Linked DNA regions of Drosophila melanogaster. The protein of the gene in region 2 interacts with the protein of the main gene of each other region in a pairwise test. Each region holds a gene or a part of one and is shown on either strand. Other genes may lie near its edges. The genes, in order: CG14968, Cht9 and CG12773.

Region 1 (6,272 bases), on a different chromosome or scaffold from region 2:
TAGGCAAATAAATTTAATAATTTTTTGATTTCCTAGTTTTATGGCCATTTCTCAAAGGATAATTGCGGACGAGCGTTGAAATTTAAGTTTAGAATTGTTGTTCCGACCAGTTAAAGAAACAAACTACAAAAAAAATTGCAAAAAAATCTTAAAATAAAAATATTAAAAATTAAATAACAAAATTGTTTGATGTAGGTGGGGTAAAATAGGTAAGGAACACTTTTTGGCCAGCTAATCAACTCCATCGTGCAGAGGTTTGAGTGTCCTGTGTTTTGCCTAATCGCATTCAATTTCTGAACGGTAGAGATGGTACGCTTAGAAACAACCTAAAACAATTTTATCTTATAGTTGAACTTAAAATAAAGTAACAATATTTAAAAATAATTCTATAATCCTTATTTTTTTTCACCACTTGTAATATATGTGCTTAAAAATCAAAAGACTTAGGACACAAACTGCAAGTGGCATATCAACAGGTTGTAGCCCAATTCAAATAGCCAAACATACCATATTCGTAATTTATTTTAGAAAATCGTTTACAAATCGTATTAACACTTAGGCTTTGGGTAATTAGCTGTATGAGGCAACTACCAGGTGAGAGAACCACAATTTACAGATACAGTGAACACTGGACGTTAAGTAACTAACACATCACATCTCATTGACGGAGCCAACGCAGGATCACCAGGATAACTACGCCTCCGTTTCCTGCTCCAGTTCGCCAGCCTGGATTTCCTCCGGCGTTCGCAGATCGATGGCGAACTTGTGTCGCGTGGGTGTAATAGTGTCGCTGGGCGTGGCCTCGCCCTCCTCCTCACCGGTTGCCTCCTTGACCCGTCGCGAGTAATCCTGGAAGGCGGCGGCCAGGGCAAAGGTCAACTTCCGCGCCATCGCACGACTGTCGCACACGAAGGCGTGAACCTCAAAGGGATGCGGACTCGACTCGTCCTTCACCACGATCATGGCAAAGACCCTTGTGTAGACCAGGTCCTGAACGCCATACGAGATCGTGTCGATGGGATAGCTCCAGTGATTGATGCTGGCCTTTGGCGATATGATCTCCAGCTGGACTCCGTCGGTGGACACCTTCAGTTCGCAGTTGGGCAGCACCTTATTGGGCGGCAGGTTCTTGGCCACGCCCACCATTATGTCCACCGGACGACGCGTATACTTAATGCCCCATAAGCCACGTGCCACTTCGGAACCAATGTACTTCACCTGCAGGGAGAAAATGTATACGATATATTAAAAAAAAAAGATTGCCGATTCTACACTGCATTTAGTCAAAAAAAAAAAAAATTCCAATGAGTATATAACCAAATATTCCTATTTTACGTGAGTAAACAAATATATGTTCATGGACGATGTGGTATTATTCATCGGTGGCATTGGTTTCCGCTGCGCATGCGTTGCCGTTAGAGTCGCTTCATTTGCATCCGACCTGCGACCGGATGTCCACAGCCAAGCCAGAAAGCTGTTGCTGTTGCTCATGTGGTGCCACTGCCACGCCCCTTTCCCCTCACCGCCCCCAAAGTGAAGTTCAGCAGGGCGTGACGCATGCGTGTCTGGCTCTTTTTTTTTGGTCATGTCTCATGTGCGGGTGGTATTATGTTCAGATGTCTGCTTTTGTTCGTTTATGCACTCATAAAAAAAGAGTTCATCGAGAAATTAGGATAGACATTTTAACAGTGGATTTTGTCATATGTATAAGTAGCCAATATGGAACCAATATACTCATTTCATTTTATCATTAATTTTCAGTGTACCTAATTTTTTTCCGTGTATTTTCGGTCATATACGTAAGTGGTCTTAATGGGGATTGGTACCTGAACTTGCGCCACATATTTCACAGCATTTAAATTTGAAAACGCATTTCGCCATGTGAACACTCACCTTGAACGTTATGGGCAAATCCTCCACATTGACCTGGCTGTCCAGATCGGTGGTACTACTGTTGTTGGAGGCCATTCTGTAGCTGTATCTGTATCCGTATGTCGTCTATCGCGAAAGGTGCAAGCGAAGATCCACCGTTGAACGCATTCACCGCAAACCAACTGAAAGGGCGCAAAAAACACGAGCTTGAGTAATGCTCCCATTAAATGTATCTCGCGGATATTTTATGCGCCATCTTACGGAGTTCACATCCACCGTTGCATTACCATATCTCTACCGTAATCGCTGAATTTTACATGGTTTACTTTGTGTGCGCTTTTTGAACCTATATATGTTATATTCCGCTGAATATCGGTCGGGTCGACTAATGGTTCTGTTTGGGCTTGTTGTTGCTGTCGCCGGCTACGGATTGCTACTGAACTAGCGATCGGCGGCAAAAGGTGTCGCAAGTTGTGCCCCCAGGTAGCTCCACTCCCTCTCACTCGCTCCCAATGCCACCTGGTCCCCCTCCCCTCCCCTCCCTCCCACTCGAGCGCAGGTAAACAGAAAAGAGCGCAGGCAAAACAAATGGGCTAAACAAAAGCAGTGCTCAGATAACTTTTTTCTCTCACGCGGTATCGCTGCCTAAGCGCAAACAACTGATATTAGAAGCGACAGCCCGGCACTGAGAGAAATAAGTAGTGAAAAGAAATATCAAATGCTTAATGAGTCTTTTAAATAGATGTCTTATCTTATCGTTTCTTAAAAGGATGAATGCGTTATATTATTGTCTTTATCTTATCTTTCAAAAGGATGACTGAGTTACATTGTGATTTTTAGCACTCCTAACGGCAACAATTTTTTTTAAGTGGATCAGCGGAAATTCCCGCAAGTAGTAAAGCATTTTAAATCTAATCATAAAATAATTATGAGGTAAAACGAGTATGTTGCAATTGATAACCCAGTCAACGCCACTCAAGCAGGGTATTCGATCACCAACTTTTTAAATCACTTTTTCCACACGCACTTTTCCATGCTGCACACTATTTATTAGAAATGTATTATTAATATTTCCTCACGCAGCCCGCTGACCACTCCAATTGCCCAATGAATATAGGAGCATTATACCGGATATATGTACATATGTGTACATGTGTATATATTACAATGGCCATGCTGCAATAGTTGCATGTCTGCCAATTAATGACCGACGAGAGAAAACCGAATTAAAACCAAAACTGAAACGAATGGAAATAAATTCAGTGCAATGCATTTCACCTGTGTGACGTCATTTGCGAGCGAGAGGGGAAGCTTTCTGTGCAACAGCCAATACTTTTTTTTAGCTTTTTGTTCTACTTTGACTACCATTTTAATGCCAATGACCCAAGCGGATAACTAGTGACAATGGCCTGTGTTGTAGACACAAAACCCACGACTAATTGTGTGCTCATCTGATCTTTTGTTCTAACGCCATTTACAAGTTGCCTGATCCAGATTTTCAGGAAGATCACGTTCACAGCTATCGAATTTTGATATATTACCAAATTTGAAGCCCGCTGTTTTAGCCACATTACAACGTTTGCCACGCTAGTCCAATCTATGGCCATATAAATCTCAGCCTTACGCTCACCTTTGTACTCTCCTTATCGTTGTTTACTTTAGGGTTATTAACGAATTTTACATTTTAGAAGTTGTTCGAAAATGGCAATTTATTCTGTACGGCATACTATATACTATATGTGTTTTACATATTTTCTCCCCATACAATATGCCTACATATCATTGCCACTATCATTATGCCAACAACCATAACAATAACAATATCAGAGACAGGTTCGGTAGCACTCGCAGTCCAATTTAGATAATTTTCCACTGGACATTTCAGTTTAAGCGGTACGAAAGCCGGAAGCTGCTCATATGAGCATATCTCCTCTGTTCGTATAATAGATTTATCTTTTTTATCATAATTTGTTTACGGGCACTGCCGATGACTGTCATTTGTCGCACATATAGATTTGCGTATGTGGAGCTCGTACTAACTCCCTTCCATTCACAGTGACTAATTTACTAAATTTGGTTTCTTTTATTTACACTTTATTCACTTTATTTTCTCTTCAAGTTCCAATTGCCTGTTATCACGTAGGGAACATTTACCCATTCGCCTAATCTTATCACTCACTACTTCACGCACACGGGGAATTCAGCAAAGGTAAAATAGGTAAAAGTCTTATTGACTTTTTGACGAAAAATGGAAATAAGTCTTGAGTTAAACTAAATGCTGAAACGTGCTCAATATAATTCCGCTGATTTCTGAATTGATTATGGGGGTAGTCACTTTGGAATTACCGATTTTATGATGGCTTTGTTTCTTTGTACACCTGTTTCCTCGGCCGGTAAACGCGCTACTAACGAAATCCCCAATGATCGTGGTCAGTGATGCCGCTTTAGCCATGAATATTATCTTCAAAAAAGATTTTAAAGTTGGATGTTTCTACTAACAACTCACTTTTGCCCTGAAAATATATATATTCTTTTTTTTTGCCAAAATATTTTATTTTTTAGATAATTTCCTTATAAAGGCACGACATCACTAGTAAGTCATTTACCTTTCCCATCCAATACACAAACCAACTTTGAGCTTGAGTGCCATCGAGCTTTTTGTTGGTTAAAAGGGGTTAAACGCAGTTGTTGGTAGTTTTGCGTTAAACAAAGAGTTTAAGCTACATTATATTGAAATGTAACGCCTAAAAAAATAGATTTATTGTAAAGTAGCCCTTCACAAAAATATTTCGTATTAAAAGTGACAAAATGTATCAAAAGCCTGCCAGTTTTTTATTTCAATTACATTACTGGCTCCTATTTTGGTTTCTACTACATTTACTAGTTTTCAAACTTATTTTTGAAAGACCGCTTGTAACGGTCGATAGTCATTATTGTTAACCCGATAGAGCTGCACAAATATTATCGATATATTATTGGTATTTTCCAACTGCCCGGATGGATTTTCGATGACTGTGGCTGCAGTCACACTGAGTCGGGAAAATAATTATTTATTAAAAATTCGTGGACCCGCGCTGTACATCTGTGTCTGTGCTGTTCGCTCCGCTCCAAGTGCGGCAAAAAGCAACCAAGAAGGCAGGCAGCCCAATCGGTAATTTACGGCGGAGTAGTGAGGCGATATACGGAAATCGCGACCAGTGCACGTGCAATTGTGAATCGTTCTCGATTTTCCCGACCCGCACCCTTTCTTCTCTTTCGACCATTGTGACTGTGCACAATTAACTTGCATACATACGTGTATGTATGTACACACTCTGTTTGTATGTATGCGTGCCACCCCCAATTGAGGCGGAAAAAGGAGAAGCAAAGGAATTTCTGCAAAATCCAAGATGCCCATGCTATTTTCACTATTTTATTTTGCCAACTTTTCAGTCGACACTTTGCTCTTGCAGCAACAAAGCCAACAACGGCGAAAATTGGAAGTTATTTTCTTTTCTTTCTCCACTCTTTTTATCGCAAAACAACAGCAACACTGCCCGTGCACCGCTCTCCCCGCTCCCACTTGCGTCCTTGTTAATACAGTGAATATCGGCTAGCCACAAACAGGGGAAATACAAAGAATCTTAATTTGCATTTGTATGGTTGATAAAAAGTCAACTTATCAACTTATCTAAATCGTCAAACCAAAGTGACTTATACATTTGTAAACATTTTTAAGCGTTTTCCCTGTTTTAATTGCGAAAATAGTAAAGATATCGTGTTTTATTTTTATCAACAGTGCAGCGAAAGTTTTATAAAGTATACATATATTCAGTCAAATAATTATTAAAGTCCTATACTCTCCGTATACACTGGATTTGGTTTTTTATTAATTTTCAATTATGTGTATTTTGAATTTAGCCTCTTCAATTGGAGCTTAGGAACCTTAACAACCAAAGAACCGATTTCCAGACTTAAAGCTAAGGTAAGTTAAATACACCTATTATTCTTAGCCTCATTATCAATTTTTAATGAAACTTCAAAAAATAGATTGTAAGAGTGTTATATCTCTTTTCTTAGTTAAACATAATCTCGGAAATGATATCCATTATCTTACGTAGGGGATTTGCCTGCAGGAGACCTGCATCAGCATGTCTGTTATTGTTGCACGTGGGTCACCGAACTGGGCGGGTGTGGGCGTGGTCAGGTAGTAGCTGAGCATATCTGCATTTCAACAATCGATCTTAATCTGCGCTTGCTTTTGAGTTCCTTTCGTCTAGGACTTGTTATACTTGATTTATGGCCCCTTCCCGCGATTTCCCATCCTCGAAAACCGGTTGTTTTGACTTAATCATCGGTTCTCGCTGGTTATTTGATATGAAATTCTTTCTGACTCACAGCAGTTGTTTAAATTCTGGCGT
Region 2 (3,561 bases):
TTTTATCATCGTCCTGGAATGTGACTCATACTGTTGCTAGCTACTCATTCAGGCAACTCATGAAGTGTAAATTAAATAAATAAACTTGTATTCAATGAATAACAAAAGAAGCATATTTATTCATTCATGATTTATACTTTTTACTAGAAATGTAGAACTACTGTCATCACATGAAAATATAACGCACTTTTGTAGATATGGGTAATTGGATTTAAATCTGACATCAAAAATTACAATACTTGAGAACTTTTACATTATTATGATGTTAAATAAAACATATTGTTGTAAAGTTATATATATATATATATATAATCATAACTGAAATACATATACTCTACGACTAAACAGAAATTTACACAAGTAATCAATTAATATATTACTTATTCTCATTCAATTGAAGGATTCAAAGGATTCTGGAACAGGATACTAAATCCCTATAAAATTATTCTTATTATTTGCTTTTCTTTCGAATTCATTTAAAGTTTGTTACGGATTTGTTTACAACCAGTTTAAAAGGTTTCCATATTGATAGATCTGGTTTTCACTTAAGACTTCTTGTGAAATAACTTTTGAAACATTCTCCAAAGTCACAAACAGCAGTGTGGTTTTTTTTTTCAATTTTCAAACATTTATTCTTAACAATCGGATTCTCCTTTTACCAACGCAGCTTCCTGTTGATGGTCTTGAGCAGAGGATAGGTCTCACCGCACTGACCGCGGTAGTCGTCCGTCTCTAGGGACCAGATCATGGCACCGGCCAGACCCTTGGACAAAGCAAAGTCCATCTTGTACTGGACACTGAGCACGTTGTCGAAGCTCACCCACTGGTCACCGGAGTAGGCGTATGGAGCGGCATTGTCGTAGTCGAAAACGGTGTGCCAGTTGTTCTGGCAGATCTCGTTGTAGCCCAAGTAGCCGGTAGAGCCGGTGTAGGATCCAGCGGAGCCCTCGCCGCGGCACGGTGCACCCGGCCAGTTCTGGGAGGAGTCCGACAGCTGGAAGGAGCGTCCGTAAGTGCCCACGCCGAGCACCAGCTTGTTGGCCGGAGCACCTTGGCTCAGCCAAAAGTTAATGGCGTTCTCCACGGCCCACTGGGGGGCATTGAAACCGGTCTGGCCATCGGAGGCCATGGCAAAGTCGTAGGTCATCACGTTGATAAAGTCGACCTGCTGAGCAATGTTGGCGATTTCGTAGGATGCACTGGCCAATGATTCACCGGCGCCCACCGCAATACCCAATTCATAGCCATAGGGAGCGAACCTATAGGACATAAATCATTTAAAACTAAAGTATGCTTCGGTAGTGGCTCCTCCACTACTCACGCCTCCTTAATCTCGCGCAGCAGAGTCACAAAGTTGGCACGATCGTTCCAGTTGCCACCACGCTGGTTGGGGTACTCCCAGTCCAGATCCAGACCATCGAATCCATGGTTGCGCAGCAGGTTCAGGGCGGAGTTAATGAAGTTCTGGCGCTTGTACCAATCGCCGGACATCGAGGAGTACTTGGTGGAGCCCTCGTTCCAGCCGCCGACCACGGCCAGGACTTTCAGGTTGGAGTTTTGGTTCTTCAGGCTAATCGCCTGGTTGATGAAGCCCAGATCGTAGTCCAGCCAAGTGTCCAGGGATTGGATCTCACCATTGTCGTTGATTCCGAAGAAGGAGTAGCTCAGATGGGTGCACAGACCGGCATCGATATTGGACACATCGAACTTGCCATTGCCGCTGCGGTAGTTGGCCCAGGTGCCCCAGTAGCAGTTGACGATGCCTGGATAACAGATCAGGAATACAGATCGATTAGCTTTTAAGCCAACACCAAATTCGCGTAGATTAGACTTACGTTCAGCACCGATAACCTGGCTAAGGCAGAGGACAGCGAGTAGTGCCAATAACTTTCCCATTGCACGAAATGCTTATTACTTCTTGTTCCATCTAGGTATTTATACCCTTCCGCACCGATCTTATCAATACCATTATCTTTATCAGCTGTGTCGGCTACTCCACTCCAATTGTCGGACTAATTTATTGGGTCTTCGTCGCGTGCTTTGAATTGTAATATTTATACTAGCGACCGGTATTTGTATCTCAAGTACAGATTCATTTTTTGTTTACTATCCCTTAAGTTGTAAATTTTCTCAAGAGGTACTTCAACATTTAAAATGTTTGTGATATTTGGCAAACTTAAGTAATCAAGGCATATTAGGTTTAATAGGAACATGAATACTTTGTCCTTTAATATTTTGGATCGAATTTTAAGTTGATAAGTATCTTAAGCTTGTGTCCAAACATTATTACCTCTAATCAATGAGACCAATTTAATATAGACTATTATATTTTATAAGCTTCACATTGGCAGAAGGGTATTTTTGGGTCTGTAAATATGATACTTTTATTATTTTAAAGCCATTTCAAAGCCAGGTGTTCAAAGAAACATAAAAAGGTTAGTTGCTGACCTAAAAACTTCACATGCTGGTTACTGACTTTAATATAGTTGATAGACTAAACCGACTCAGTTATACCCTTAATTTAAATGTAAATAGGCCAATATGATATGTTTCATTCATTTTAAAAATGAATAAAAGAAAACATGTTTTGGTATAAATATATATATATATAGCAATATGTTCCTTGTACTGCCAACATTTCAACTAACTTTGTATGAGTGTTTTATGGGTTCACTGATAATGAGATTAGGAATAGATTTTCATTGAGTGGGAGTAAATTATTTTCAATTGCCTGCTTAAACTAATCTATAGATTTCAGTCATTTCATTTCAGTCATGATTTTATTAAAAAAAAAGAATGTTTGATACTAATTTCATTGAGTACAAATGGATTAAAAGGTGATTAATGATTGCGATAGAACTGTTAGATTCACTAAAACCAAAATCCAACTAATCTTAACACACCACTTTTTTGAAAAATTAAAGCAGCTATTCAGCTTATTTTATATTTATTTCCAAGCTTAATGAATGCAAATAAGTGCCTATTTCAGATATGTTATTTTCTTAAACATATTTATTGTTTATTAACCAATTTCGTTGAACAATGTAATAAACTTTTCGACATAATATAGAGATTCTTTAACAGTTTTGAGTAGAAATGCACATATAAATAAAATAAAATTTCTGCGACCAGTTGAACTGTAAAGCGCTCAGATTAACTGATTTAAAACGTTTTGTTTCAGTGCGTTGGACATTCGATCCGTGGCTTAGTTGGTCACATAGATTTCGAACTCCTTGTAGGCCAGCTCCTCGCCGCCGTACGGAATGTAGCAGCATCCGTGGGAGGGCTGCACCTTGCCCACAGTGATAGTTCCGTCGTGGGTGGCACGGCCGATGAACAGTGGTTCGCCCTCGGCGGTCTCTCCGGCAGGCAGGGCGTTGGGCGGGATGTTTCCGGCATCCACGGGCAACCACTGGCCGCCGCCGGCGCACAGCACCTCGTATTCGGCGTGGCCGTGCTCACCACCTCCCCAGGCTACGTAGGTCACTCCGTGGGAGGGATGCAGCTTGCCGGGAATGAGGTCGCCCTCATGGCGGGCACGGGCGATGTACAGCTGCTCGC
Region 3 (6,698 bases), on a different chromosome or scaffold from region 2:
TAAACAGAACAGATCTCGGCCAGAATCGGCTCACCTGCGTTCCGTCCGGGAGAAGCCGCCTCTGAAGCATTGTGCTTTATGCAATATGTACGCCAGAGGCTCAGCTGCTGGGCGCTGCGTCGCACTAAGCTGTTCATGGCGGGCTTGGGGTGTGGGCAGGTCAAGTCCTAGGCCCACTTGGTGTGGGTGATTTCGGATCTGGAATTTAACCGAATATTGTTGGGCTGTATTTTTGAGGTTAGGTCGAGTTGGTTATCGGTCGCGTTCGCTGGGTGTGCAGCCCTGGTCCCAAAACCGTGGCTTATTTTAGCATTCTTAAGAGTTAGATGATAACAAAACATATCATTTTGCCATCCTAAGCACATTATAGCTCCACTTTCATTTAGGCAATCACCATTAGTGCAGAGGTTTTTGCAATGCCAATCTTCCAAAAGAAGCTTATGCATCCCTGAAAATCTATCGATTACTCTAGGTGGCGCCAAACTCAAAAGTTTGTAATTTCATAAACTTTTTATTTCACGTCCCAGTTATTGTGTTATTATTGTTATTATTACATGCGGGTTTTGCCGTGGGATGAACGGGCTTCGTAAAACTAGGTTTAATTAGACTAAACACGTACAAAAGGGACACGATTGGGTATATTTTTTAAATATACGTTAGTTAGTCATCTTCCTAACACTCCTGGATCGGTTACATTAGTCAATCAACGTGAGGTGTATATATCGGATATATGCGAGTGATATATATACATATATTGGGTGTATATAGAGTGCGGTTATTGCTGATATCGTATGCCGAGTGAGTGTACGCGGGTACAGGTTTATATATATTATCAATTAGGACTGTTATTGTCCACCGACATGGTAATACAGGATTATAGCTTAGCTTAGGTGTTGTTTGTGTTATGTGGCTCATTCTTGTGTTCTGTAACAATTTCATTGTGCTCTGTGTGCTGTGTGTGTTGTCGTCTTAAATGCAAGGCGCCAAATCATCGAGTTTGATTTCTGGTTTTGGTTTCACTTATTATCTCAGTATCACATATGTCTCCTCGAAATGCGTTCTGTTTTGTGTGCGGAACACTGGAAACATATCCATTTAGCAACAACTTATTCGCTCTCAACTAAGGAGTAATCGTTGAAGAACTACGAGAGCAAGGAACACATCGAAAGAATGCGAAGCTTAAGAATTAATACATTAGAATTAATAATTAGAAAGTGCTCTGAGTTGTTGTGTGAGTGTCCTCTGAAGTTGGGTGTGTGCGTGTGGGCGAGGCGTGGACACGGGGATGGACACGGTGGTAAACGCTGGACTGGACAGCTGTGGTCAGAATGGAGCCTCCGCAACTGAAATGTGCTCTGATTTGGCTGACCTCCGAACGTTTTAACAACTAGTAAAAAGCTAAAAATCAATACACTATCAACATTTTCTTATCTAAGCACTACATCGTGGGAGAGTCCCAGTTAAAATGCGTCACAGACTCCAAATTTTGTTAAAGCAAAACGAACTAAGACCGAGTTTGGAATACTACCATCGTGACCTCAGCTGTCGCTATCCTAACTATACATCAAATACATTCGTACAGATTTACAAACACACATAGGGTTAAGTTTAGTTCGGCTGCCTCGCCGGCTCTACTTCACTTTAGTTAAACGTAGTACTGCTTAGCGGTAGAGAAATGCACTCGACTATTGCTTTCCACAGCCACGCCGCCTGCCCCGTTGCCCGGCCCGCATACAGGTGAACCTGTGCTCTAGACCCTGGACTCGGTCTAGATGTCATCTATGAGGCGACCCTCGATAACGGACGAGTGGTGGTAGTTGGGCCGCGGACGGAAGTCCTCGTTCTGCTCGTTGAGCTGCGTGGGTGAGAGATCAACGCCTGGGCACGAGGGTGTCACGACTATCTGCTCGTACTCGTTCATCCGTTTGCTGTGCATCAAATGGAGCGAGATGGCAGTTAGTTGGATACTTCAGAAGCGCCAAGCAAACTCACCCGAAGCACCGGAATATGACGCTCTTCAGCCAGGCGAAGAAGTTAAACTCCGCAGTGAGACCCGGCTTCACGGCCGGATTGGCTGTGCCCACATAGAACCATACGACGAACACCACCAAGAAGCAGGTGAGGGCGTAGTACCAGTTGACTAGCAGCATAACCAGCAGTTTAGTGAAGGCCTGTGTGAAAGTCATAAATGAGTAAGCTTTCCGGAGAAGCGTCGTCTCCTTTATGCAGACGTACCCCCAGCAGAGAGGCCCAGCGATTACAGTAGCCGGAGTACCAGTTTTTCGTCTTGGAGTGGATGGGCGGACGGATCGGGGCTATCGGTTCGGCCTCGTCGCCCTGGTCCTGTTCGACGCCGGCCTGCGCGACTGCCTGCTCCACGGCCAGTGTGGTGTCCGCCTCGTGCCCCGTTCTCCGTTCCGAAGACTGGGCCTGGTTGGAGGTGCTGGGACCCTCGTTGTCAAACTCCAGGGGCACTGTTTGGTGCAGCGGTGAGTTCTGCGGACTCTGCAGGTTCTTGTGGCGCACCCGATCAGGGAACAGGAGGTCCAGGTCGTTGCCCGTGTCCGAAACACTGCCGTAACGGCGCGTCTCGTAGCTGGGACTCGACGCCTGGATGCGGAAACGCTCCTCGCGCTGCTCCTGAATGTCGAAGGTCTGGGCCAGCGCAAAGTAGGCGTAGTCGATACAGGCATATGTGAGCAGGAAGGGCATGGTCACGATCGGCGCCAAGAAGTTGATGTCTCCCACGATAATGAAGGTGACAGTGACTAGGGCCACGATGGCCATTGCGTATAAAGGCACTTTGTTGGGACCACGCTAGCAAAGATTTCGAAAAGTTGTGATTACGTTATTTTCCTTATCTTATTGTTCAACTGGTACTTACACCCTTTCCCAGGATATCGATGCCCGGAATGACGCTCTCTTTGGCGATGCTCTGAAGGACGCGCGGAGTGCCGTACATGGCGCCCAGGCAGGAGGACATGCTGGACACATAAATGCCGGCCAACAGCAGGAAATGCACGGCAGACACCTTGACAGAGATCATGTAGTCAGTATACAGGAAGCTTCGTTGGCAGGTGGCCCCCAAAAACAGGACGAACACCAAGTACAGGAACGTGCTGCAAAGAAATCAGATGTCAAGAGCTACTGATTTCCCGGCGACGTGTAAACCTTACGAGGTGCCAAAGGCGGCCAGGGTGCCATTGGGAATGTCCGTGGACGGCGCGCGCAAGTCGCCGCTCATGTTAATGCCCGACAGCACTCCGGTGACGGTGGGAAAGAAGACGCCGAACACACGGAACCAGGAGTAGCCGTCGTCGTACTTTGGCCATAGGTTCTCCACGAAGTTTCCGCTCGCCCAGCCATTAAAGCCGCCACCTGCAAATAAAACCAGATTAATAGCTTGTTGGCATAAAATCTTTGCAACTTCTTTTGAATCATATTCCAACTAAATTCAACAGATTATTTAAAAATGCCATAATCTACTTAGGAAGCGATTAGTCACTGGACATGGCTAACAATCGCATATGAATAATGTACTCACTGGCCTCACTAGTGAAGCTGCCCACCATGAAGTCCAGCGCCGAGATCAGCAGTATCATGAGCAGTATAAACTGAAGCTTGATGACCCACTTGACGCCGGCCACGTTGATGCAGCCCAACAGGAGCACCGCTGCCGTAGCGAACCCGCGGATGGCCCACTTGCTGCCCTCGAGTCCCACTAGTCCAGCCATTGATTCGCCAAATCCCATTACGTTAAGGGCGCATCCCACCGCCTGGCCAAAGCAGTAGAGCAAACCCAAGGCGCCTCCGAATCGGGAACCAAGCGTGTGGGCTATGAGAAAGTACACGCCACCGCTTTCCACACGGCACCGCTCGCAGATACCGATTGCCGAGAGGACGCTGACGAGAGCTATGACCACCGTGCAAAAGATGATCAGCACCGCGTTCAGAATGCCTGCCTGTGCGACGATCCATCCGGATCGCAGGAACACGATCACTCCAAACACGTTGATTAGGCAGGAGGTGAACACTCCGTCCCAGGTGCCGAATAGCACGGGCTGGGAGATGAAGAAGTTCGAGCGCCACCTGTTGAGTAAGAGGCTTAGGATCCTGGCCAGAAGGGTTGCCTGATTCACTTACCACGGCTTGTCGCCCTGCTCGCCCGCAAAGATCTCGTTGGCCCCGGACGCATGGTGGCCACCAGCCGCGTACGTGTACTCGTTACCTAAATCCACAAATCCGCCGGTGTTGTTGTTGGTCCGCTGGCGAAAGCTGGTCACCGCCACATCCCCGTCCTCGTCGCCGCCAAGTCCAAATCTCTGCCAGTCGACAGTGCGTCGGCCGCCGTTGCCATTGCCCTCAGAGCTATTAGTCATCTCCGCTCCGCTTCGCACCGCACACTCCGCTCCACCCCGCTTTTCCCGTACCGCTTTTGGCAGTTGTTTGCTGGCCTTGTTGTTGCTGCTGCTCCCGTGGAGTTGAGCAGTTTTTGCGTTGTGCTGTTCTCGCGGGTTATCTGACGACTACTCGGGCGTAATCGCGGCAATTAACTGATTGCTATTTCTTGGCGTTGCGCTCCCACTGCTACACCCAAACATCCAAACGTCCAAGTGCGAGCACATCCACGCAGGCAGCCAGTGGAGAATCCTCTGAAGATCGCAGATCCGATGGAGGTGCTGCAGGCGCTGGATTCGAGTCACTGGCGACCGAAGCGGGAAACGGCGGGCATCGTCTTGGTCGCACTTGAGTAACTGTAACCGCACTCAATAAACGCTCAAAAAGCTAAATAAAAACACTTGCTTATTGGTAAACTACAAGAAGTCGTCATCGATGACTTTTCGGTGGGCTGCGATATGCGTTAGACGATAGGCCGCCTATCTGTTTCTAAGTTCTATCGCTACCATCCGATATCGATAACCAAACCGGTGTGACGCGCCGCACGTGCTTACGTTTTGTTTGTATTTTACTGGGCTCCTCGGGAAATGGGCAAGAAGAAGGACAAGTCCGGGAAGCTGGACAAGCAGACGACGAAGAAGGAGGCACCGAGCTCGTCGCAGGCCAACATGGGGAAGGCAGCTGGAGCCAATGATTCGGAGAACGGAATTTGGCAGGACTCTCGGTTCCAGCACCTGCTGACCGATCCCCGATTTCGCGGCGTTCCAAAAGTGCAGCGAAAGGTCAAGATCGACAAGCGTTTCCAGGGCATGTTCACGGACGACAAGTTCAAGGTGAAGTACACCGTGGACAAGTACGGCCGCCCGGTCAACAAGAGCAACGCCGAGGACCTCAGAAAGTTCTACGAACTGGACGAGAACGAGAGCAGCAGCGGCGAGGAGCCTGCCAAAAAGGAATCCGATCTTGACTCCGAGGCGGAGGCAGAGCAACAAGAGCGGCGCGCCGAGGAGCGAGCCATAGCCAACTTGGAGAAGGAGGAGAGCAACGATACTCTGGAAAGCGATAGTTCCGAGGTGTCACAGAGTCTTCGTCAGCGCCTGACCAACCCAGAGATAGACTACGCCCGCGGAGAAGGCCGCCTGTATACCGACTCCTCCTCAGACGAGGACAGCGATGATGAGGACGAGGGTCCAGAACTGCAGATAGACCACGTGTGGGGCGAACTGGACAACGATGCCGAGCACACCGAGGAGAGCACCCGCCGGCTGGCTGTTTGCAACATGGACTGGGACCGCATCCGGGCCGAGGATCTAATGGTCATGCTCAGCTCCTTCCTGCCGCCCGGCGGTAGCATTCTCAGCGTCAAGATATACCCCTCAGAGTTCGGGAAAGCGCGCATGGCCGAGGAGGAAGTGCACGGCCCAAAGGAACTGGTGGAGCGCGTGGAGCCAGAAGACGACTCCGATGAGGAGCTCGTACGCCAGCAGGACAGCGATGCCGAAGAGGGGGAGGACTACCACATGGAGAAGCTGCGTCAGTACCAGCTAAACCGACTTCGCTACTACTATGCTGTCGTCGAGTGCGACAGCATAGACACGGCCGACAAGGTATACAAGGAGTGCGATGGTATCGAGTACGAGAGCTCCGCCACGCGCGTGGACTTGCGCTTCATCCCGGACGACACCTCGTTCGAGGAGGACACGCCGTCGGACGAATGCTTCGAGCTGCCGGATGCCAGCAGCTATAAGCCGCGACAGTTCACCACCACGGCGTTGCAGCAGGCCAAGGTGGATCTAACCTGGGACGAGACGGCGCTGGACCGTCGTGAGCTGGGTGACAAGCTCTCCAGCGGGCAGGTTGACAAGCTCACGGACAAGGAGCTGCGCCAGATAGTAGCGTACAGTAGTGAGGAAGAGGATTCTGAGGCAGAGGAATCCCCGGCGGAGGAGGCTGCTCAAAAGGCGGTTTCAGAGGACCCACAGAAGAGCAAGCCCAAAAAGACTTCTAAGCAGGAACGCATTGCCACCTACAAAAACTTGCTGGCCGACATCCTGGAGCAGGAAAAGAAGGAGAAGGAGCAGAAGTACGAAATGGAAATGACCTGGAACGTGGAGCCCCAGCACGAAGAGGCACAGCCGGAGCAGCAAGCCCAGGCCGAGCTCACGCCCATCGAGAAGGTGATCCAGAAACGCAGCGAGAAGAACAGGCAGCGCAAGGAACAGCGCCGCCAGCGCCAGATCGAAGCCAGAGGAGGCGATGCCGGTGAGGACAGCGATGAGTCCATGGTGCCCGATGGCATC

Evidence for each region.
Region 1: the proteins of Cht9 (region 2) and CG14968 interact in a two-hybrid assay, tested with the Drosophila melanogaster proteins (one large-scale study listed by BioGRID).
Region 3: the proteins of Cht9 (region 2) and CG12773 interact in a two-hybrid assay, tested with the Drosophila melanogaster proteins (one large-scale study listed by BioGRID).

Annotation. Positions count from the first base shown.
Region 1 is NT_037436.4:3,298,830-3,305,101, forward strand, and holds CG14968 (uncharacterized protein), read right to left. Parts: upstream 4,284-6,272; 5' UTR 4,219-4,283; intron 3,588-4,218; exon of another isoform or gene 3,503-3,587; intron 2,314-3,502; exon of another isoform or gene 2,055-2,313; 5' UTR 1,969-2,054; coding exon 1,894-1,968; intron 1,219-1,893; coding exon 694-1,218; 3' UTR 507-693; downstream 1-506.
Region 2 is NT_033778.4:21,067,377-21,070,937, forward strand, and holds Cht9 (chitinase 9), read right to left. Parts: upstream 1,911-3,561; 5' UTR 1,897-1,910; coding exon 1,836-1,896; exon of another isoform or gene 1,764-1,835; coding exon 1,322-1,763; exon of another isoform or gene 1,260-1,321; coding exon 656-1,259; 3' UTR 616-655; downstream 1-615. Other genes in the region: CG10527 (uncharacterized protein), read right to left, coding at 3,206-3,561.
Region 3 is NC_004354.4:1,349,110-1,355,807, forward strand, and holds CG12773 (uncharacterized protein), read right to left. Parts: upstream 4,873-6,698; 5' UTR 4,380-4,872; coding exon 4,144-4,379; intron 4,090-4,143; coding exon 3,545-4,089; intron 3,379-3,544; coding exon 3,177-3,378; intron 3,120-3,176; coding exon 2,885-3,119; intron 2,818-2,884; coding exon 2,236-2,817; intron 2,172-2,235; coding exon 1,993-2,171; intron 1,929-1,992; coding exon 1,769-1,928; 3' UTR 514-1,768; downstream 1-513. Other genes in the region: MTPAP (mitochondrial poly(A) polymerase), read right to left, coding at 35-137; CG11417 (uncharacterized protein), read left to right, coding at 4,986-6,698.